2 linked regions of the Coturnix japonica genome follow. Each later gene encodes a partner of the first gene's protein in a complex. Links are inferred from orthologs where the notes say so. Each region holds a gene or a part of one and is shown in the gene's direction. Other genes may lie near its edges.

Evidence for each region. Proteins that work in one complex are often made in the same cells at the same time.
Region 2: STX7 (region 1) and VTI1B share a complex: the UniProt entries of both Homo sapiens proteins name them as parts of the SNARE complex. The link is inferred for Coturnix japonica from reciprocal best matches to the Homo sapiens genes STX7 and VTI1B.

Annotation. Positions count from the first base shown.
Region 1 is NC_029518.1:51,525,080-51,528,823, forward strand, and holds the start of STX7 (syntaxin-7), read left to right. Parts: upstream 1-973; 5' UTR 974-1,105; intron 1,106-3,744. UniProt on the Homo sapiens protein: May be involved in protein trafficking from the plasma membrane to the early endosome (EE) as well as in homotypic fusion of endocytic organelles. Mediates the endocytic trafficking from early endosomes to late endosomes and lysosomes.
Region 2 is NC_029520.1:27,589,191-27,592,934, forward strand, and holds the start of VTI1B (vesicle transport through interaction with t-SNAREs homolog 1B), read left to right. Parts: upstream 1-1,036; 5' UTR 1,037-1,042; coding exon 1,043-1,376; intron 1,377-3,343; coding exon 3,344-3,402; intron 3,403-3,599; coding exon 3,600-3,744. Other genes in the region: retinol dehydrogenase 12, read right to left, coding at 408-526, 895-989. UniProt on the Homo sapiens protein: V-SNARE that mediates vesicle transport pathways through interactions with t-SNAREs on the target membrane. These interactions are proposed to mediate aspects of the specificity of vesicle trafficking and to promote fusion of the lipid bilayers.

The DNA of each region.
Region 1 (3,744 bases):
ACATCTCTGGGGATGGGGACTACAACCACCCCCCTGGGCAGCCTGTTCTAATATCTCACCTCACTTTCTGAGAAGAAATGTTTCCTAATATCCATCCTGAACTTCCCCTGGTGCAACTTAAGGCTGTCACCTCTCATCCTATTTCTGTTAAGTGGGAGAAGCAACCAACTCCCACCTTGCTACAATCTTCTTTCTTCTTTTGTTGTAGGGAGTGATAACATCTCCCCTGAGCCTCCACTTCTCCAGTCTAAACAGTCTCAATACTGTCAGCCACTCCTCATTCAACTTTTTTCCAGACTTCTTTAAATATATTTATGTATATTTATATTCATATATTTAATATATTTATCTCCCATTCTTTCAATGTACTTATAAGTTTCCACTCCCATTTGGAGATGATGACCAAAACTGAAGGTCATAAAGGATGTTAATATAATGGCACTGTATTCCATTGTTCTGTAATTTCGCTACGTACATTTTCCTCTAACACCTGACCACAGCATCTTTTCCTGATATTCTATTCTTAAATGCTTTTTTCTCCACTAACATACAACTACGGAGGCAATAAATGCCAGGTTCTCCCAAGTAACAAGCAATAGGACAAGAGGCAATGTATTTAAGTTGTGCCAGAGGAGGCTCAGGTTTGATATAAGTAAACACTTCTTAGAACGAGTGGTGATGCATAGGAACAGGCTGCCCAGTGAGGTGGTTGAGTCACCATCCCTGGAGGTGTTCAAGGACCACGTGGATGTGGTACTGAGTGAAGTGGTTTAGCGGTACAGAGCCGGTGGGCTATTGGTCTCAGCAGTCTCTCCAACCTTTACGACTCTGAATCCCGAATCCCACTCCCGGACACCCCGAGCCCTCCCACCCGGCAGCGCCCCCTGCCCGCGGCTCCGGGCCCGCAGTCGTTCTCCGCCCATCACGGCCCGGCCCGGCCCAGCCCCACGGCCGCTCCTCCCCACGCCTCCGCCGTCACGGCGGCTCCCGCCCCATGACAGGACGGGGCGGTGCCGGGCGGTCAGGCCCCGGCCCTCCCTCGGGAAGCCGGCTTCCCTGTCATCCCCTCCACCGCGCCCGGTGCGAGGAGGTACGGCGGAACCGGGTAAGTGCAGCGGGAGCGGGTCGGGACGGTCTCCTCTTTCTCGCTTCCACGCTCGGGTGGCTGGAGGAGGAAGGGGCGGACGGGGCGGTGGCCGAGCAGGGGCTGTCAGAGGGCGGCGGATCGGGGCCTCGGTGCTGTGCGGGAGCTTGCGGCCACCGCCTGGGCCTGGGGCTGAGCGGGGCGGCTGTAAGCAGGGGAGCGGTGCCCCGCTCCTCCACCCGCGGTCGGGTGGAGGCTGCCCGGCCCCGGGGTGGCTGGGTGCGGCCGGTCGTGCCCCTTCCGCAATAACATCCCCCTGGCTTTCTGCTCCGAGGGGAGGATTCGGGGACTCGAGCCAGTTGTTCTGTAGTGGCTTAAGTGAAGTCTGAGCGTAGGTAGCTGACCTGTGCTTCATCAGGGTGCTCGTGGTGCTGAAGGTGTGAGGACAACAAGGTGTGCTGGCTGCAGGCAGGGAGGCAGCAAATCGCCTGTGCAAATAGAGCCTGGGCCTGGGGCCCGGCGTTATCGCTGACTTTCCTGTCGAGTGACTTGCTGCTGCTGCCTGAGAAGTGGGTGCTCGGTGAAGCTGTGGGGGAAGTGGAGGGTTTCGCTCTGTCAGGCGTGAAACGCGAGGCACTGTGTCTATATCAGAGCTTAATGCTAAAACCGGGCACGTCAGCTGCGGCATTAAGTACCCCCCATGTATTCTGACCTTCCCTGAGGAATGAGCAAAGCAGAAGCTGGGAGCGGTGTGGTGGGGCGATTTCTCTGCAGGCATTGCCCTGCAGGCCCCTTGCTGTGAGCCCAGGGTTTCACACGAATGCTGTTAATAGAAAGGAGGAATATACACCAAAGAGAAGCTCCGTAAAAGTTAAGACCTGTAATTTAGTCATTGCCATATTGTGGTGGGCCAGTTGCCAGTGTTTGTCTCCTGTTTCTTCCTCAGAGGCATGATTCTCTTTATAAAGGCATTTCCCTGAGAACTTGCTTTGTGCAGAAGACACATTCTTCTGTTGCTTTATGTAATTGTCAATGAGGGCGAACTGGATAGTGACAAATATATTCCTTGTTAGCCATGTGTGCTTGAGACAGCGTTGGTTGTCCTTTAGGCCTAATCCCATTTCAAGTTTCCATAGCTCAGTTTTACGCACTGAGCACTTCTAATGCATAACTACGAATGTAATGTTTAAGCTACATCTTTGTTGGGAAATCTTTTCTGGGGAAATGAGACTGACCAGTTACACAGCCTTAACAAATCTTATTTCTTCTTAAGAAATCATCTGGTCTTTGCCTGATATGAGTTCAGTTTTGATGCGCTTCAGCCCAACTAATGAGGCAAGGCCAAGGCAATTGGGCAGAGTGGAATAGAAATTTATCTTTTGATTTCTTCTATCTTAGTGTTCCTGCATTAGAGTAAATAAAGTTTTAAAATGAACTTTGCTTACTTTCTTCCCACTTTAATTTTAGGCTTAGTTCTACATGAAGCTATATGATTTAATATATATATATATCCATATATATATACACATATATATATGGATAGTTTAACTTCCATTTCTTTTGAACAGGCAGGGAGGAAATCATGTGACTGTTCTGTTTGCATGGATCAGGGTTCCAGCCCATCTGGAGCTGAAAGCACAGAAGTAGGAAGTATGGCATTATTCTTAATATGTTTTGGCCTTAAGTAAAAGGCGGGAGGGGAAGGATATATCCAGACAAAACTTACCTCCCTCATCCCCACTGGAGAGAACAGTGACAGGTTTAATTCTTGTCTATATGAGTCTGTTGCAATAATGCCTCTGGTGCTGTAGCAGAGACATAGTTACCTTATGGTATGCAGTCTGTCTCTTATTCCAGAAGCTTTGATTTCTTGAAGTTTAATTTTACTACTTACTGCTACGGTCAGCAACAATGTTTTGTTTTGGGCTGCCTTAGAATGGGAGCTGGAGCTACACTGTAAAAGCACTGTGTTACTTTGTCTCATTCTAGAAGCTGGGTGGTGAAACCCACTCAGATGGGATGGGCAGCAGTGTCAGCTGGCAGGAATCTCACTAGTCCCTGTGATACAAATCTTCAATAGTCGGTATTGTGCCTGGCTGCTGTTTCTTGGGGGGGAATAGGAGTAGAATCTTCCTAATACTTACATCGTCATTTTTTATTGTGTTTCCACCCTGTTTGAAGGATATATATATTTTTGACAGAGATTATTTTACAAAGGAAGTCACAATTAGAAATTGTTTTGTAGAAGCTTTATTTAAAATTATATATATATATAATGTATTATATATGTGTGTGTGTGTATATGTATTGTATATATATACATTATATATATATAGAGAGAGAGAGAGCATGTCCAAGGAAAGCACATGACTTGTCTCTGGATATTTAAAGGCACAAAGTCCTAATTCCAATCAGGTTTAAATTTTCAAGCACTTCTCTGGAATGCAGTATATAATTTTTGCTTACCAAAAGCTGAGGATTCATGTAAACATTTCTAGATCCTATACCTAAAATATTCCTTAAGTAGTCAAATTATTGCTTAAGTGGTGTTTTGATGTTGTATATTAGAGTGAGGAAAAATACATACTGATCTCTTGAATTCTTTAGATTTTCCGTATGTACGGAGACATCTTTGCTTCATGCATTGTTGTGTGCTCTGA
Region 2 (3,744 bases), on another chromosome or scaffold:
AGCACTAGGGCCTACACACGCAGGGTTGCTTGGACTCCAGCCAGAGCCATTGCTGGGTACTTTCACTGCCCTGCTAGTTACCAAAAAACATTTAAGCCAGTTTTGAACCATGAGCGGATCTGAGCCATTTCCCATCCCCAAACAAGGTAGAGCCCTGTGACTCCAGGCACTTCCTTGGTCCTCCCGAGGTGGCCACAGCGCTGAGTATTTCTACACGCTGAGACACGGGGTCAGGGTTCAAGCAGTGAATGCAGCTGGGAACTGGGGAACTGCACCTCAGGGGTTACAGCCCTGTCTGAAGGACCTTCAGAATGTGGCTCTTAGAAACACGGCCCCAGGCTGCAGACCACGACGCGTGGTGCCGGATCGCATCAGCCGCACCCGCTCGCAGCGTGACGCCGACTTGCCTCTCCGGGCGAGCTCCCTGGCGGTCTCTTTGCCGATGCCGGTGTTGGCGCCCGTGATCACCGCCACCTTCCCGTCCAGCCTGGCCGCGGACCCGCAGCGCCCTCCGGCCACGTACCGCCTGCAAGAGAGCGGCGGGACTCGACGGCGGCTCCGAGCCCGACATCGGACCGGGCACCGCGACACCCCGCTCCGCCCGCTCCGCCCGCTCCGGTGGGGCCACGGCTGCCATTGGCTGACAGCGCGGCTCCCGGCGCGGCGGCCAATGGAGTCGGCGCGGCGCCGTGGGGCGAACCCGGGCCACCGGCTCCCACCGCCCCGTGCTCGGCTGAGCCGGACCCCCCGCGGGAGCGGCTCGAGCCGGCTGCCGCCAACCGCACACCGCCGTAACAGCGCTGCCCGAAAGCCCTTTGTATGTCTCCAACCCCCAGAAAGGAGCCGCTTAGCCCGGCGGCACGGAGCCCCCCGAGGCGCCCCACAGCCCCGCACCTGACGTAGGGCGCCGCCGCCAGCAGCACGAGGGGCACGGACACGGCGGCGCCCAGCACCGCGCCCCAGCAGCTCAGCATCGCCGACGGCTCCATCCGCGCCGCGTCCGCCCCGCACTGATCGCGCCCGGAGGAGCCGCCCCGCCCCAATGGGAGCAATGGGCGGTGCAGGGCGGGGCGGGGCGGAGCACCACGAGGCGGCGCTGCGACTACGGCTCCCAGCGGGCAGCGCGCCGCCAGGACCCCGCTCCGCCTGGGCTGCCCCGGTGCCGCGGTCAGGCAGCGCGGGGCGTCTCATTGCGCAGGCGCGGGTCCTCGCGGCCGATGGCGGAAGCGGCGCCGGGCAGTGCCCCGTACGGCCCATCGCCATGGCGGAGCGCGGCCCCGCGTCCTCCGAGCACCTGGAGCGGCTGCACGAGATCTTCCGCGGGCTGCACGGGGAGCTGCGCGCCGTGCCGGAGCGGCTGCGGGGCGGCGCGGCGGGTGAGGCGGGGCGGATCCGGCTCGGCGCTTTCGTCGGGTTCGCGGAGGTTTCTCCCGCAGCGCGGCGAGGCCCCGCGGTCCGGCCCGGCGCTGCCCGAGCCGAGGGGCTCGTTTGGCTCCGCTCCCGGCGCACAGCGCTCGGCTGTGGCGTAGCGGAGAACGGGAAGTGGGCGCGGAGGCGGGGAAGCACCGGCTGGGTGTGAGGGGTGCGGTGTCCGGGCTGCCCGGTTCAGTCTAATACCGGGTTAAATGCAGGGTCACCATCCTATTCGTTTCCAGAAAGTACAGTGGGAGGCACTTAAAACTATGGGCCGCAGCTTTCAAGGCCAGAAGGCAGAGCAGGCTGCTCACAGAAGCTGTGGAGTCTCCTCCAGTGATATTCAGGACCCTCCTGGATGCTTTCCTTGGTGACCTGCAGGGAACTGGCTTTAACAGTGGGTTGGACAGGGTGATCCCCTGGGGTCCTTTCCAAACCCTGCAGTTCTGTGATTCAAAGCTGCCTTTGTTTTATTGACAGTCACCAAGAAGGAAAAGCATAAAGGAAGGGATGCCCCTTTGTGAAGAAGGGCCCTGGAATCTGGGCATCGTTTCTATACAATTAATGGGAGGAGGTTGCAGGGTAGGGTGAGGGTTATTTTGCTGCCTTGAAATACAAACTCAACCCTGTTGCTGGGGAAAGAATGGGGAGAGACCGTGCTCACACATATTGAAAAATGCCCCACAACGCTTGAATTTCAAAGAACAGAAATTTCCTTGCAGAAAGGAGGGTTGTCAGTTTTGTGGACAAAAGTAAACTATTGCCAGGTCCCCAGATCTGTGATATTCCCAAGGAAGTATAACAAGGGAGTTCATGTGAAGTCAGGAATTTATCTCTCTTTTGAAGGCATTTGTAAGGCATTCTTTGCTGTCCATGCCCACATGGGTCTTCATTTTTCACACTGTCATGAAAAGTCTGTGGGACAACAGATGGTGTCCTGTGTACTCCTTTGAGATGATTGGTAACTTCCCAGACTGCAGGGAGGACAAAATGTGTCATTGTTGGACCATCTTCCATGTGGAAATGTTATCTTACAAGCTAATAAATTCTCAGGTCTGGAAGCAAGTGTTTTCTTCCTTCCAAACCTATAAGAAAGCATTTTAAATGGCATTGATCAGTTTCTGCTATAGATCCCATTCTCTGAGTAAACAGTTAACTGCCTTTTTCAACTGATTGTTTTTCGGTTGGTTTAAATGAGATCTCACAGATGCTGAGAAACATGTGGGTAATGTTTCTGTGGCTGAAGTGCAGTGCTGTACTGATCCAATTGTGGGCACCCAAAGAGGGTAAAATACTGCTTTTTCAGCACTGCTTCGGGTTTCAATGGGTTCGAGACAGCAGCAGTTGTTCTAAGAGGGCACTACATTCACCAAAGGAGTGGAGTGTCCTGCGTGAGCAGAATGGTGACTTTAGAAAGTTGTTTCCTTGCTGTGTGTGCCCGTGTCCTTGCTAGCAGCCTGGCTGTTCAAGCAGTTGAATCAGCACAAATGTACGTGGCAGAAAAGCAGGGGAGGAGCTGAGGATAGTCAATGTAGGAACCCCATAAATCAGCATTTCCTGCAGCGCTAAACTTATGTTTAAACTTATCTATCTTAAGTGCACTACAAGTCAAACTCAGGGGCTTAATGGGGATTTGAACTGAAAGGGAAGGGCCCTGGTGTGGCCACGGCACATCCATAAGATGAGCTGGTTTTAGGTGTTTTGATCTAACATCCAGTGTGGTTCCAGAAAAGAGAAGTATTTGGACAACCTGATCTGGTGTATTGATGGTGTCTTCCATCTCAGAGCTCTGCAGGGTGCTTGTCTTATTTGAGTGGTTGTTTTTAGTGAACTGCTAGGATGCAAAAACCCGATTTGCTGGAAATCAGGATTTCAAGTTCTGCTTTAGTTTTGTTGGGGTTTATCTCACGTGTTGCTCTTTCTTGTGCAGAGGAGAAGAAAAAGCTGATTCGGGAGTTTGATGAGAAGCAGCGTGAAGCAAATGAAACGGTAAGTTTAAGCCTGGAATTGTGGCCTTTCTGGCCACTTAATATGTTGATTGCCCTAGAAAGGACAGTATCCCAAGTTTTACTTTAATGTTCTTATGTGAACATAATATGTGAATCCCTTCATCTAGTGTAAGTTCTGGGTACAGCTGTTTATAAGAATGAATGTGATGCTTTAAAATAAGTGTTCTTTTCTTTAAGCTCCGGGAAATGGAAGAAGAACTGAAGTATGCTCCTCTACCATTCCGCAATCAAATGATGAGCAAAATCCGGGCATACAGAAGGGACCTCTCCATGTTCCAGAGGGAGATGAGAAGCACAGATTTGGGACTGGGCCCTGGAAGTC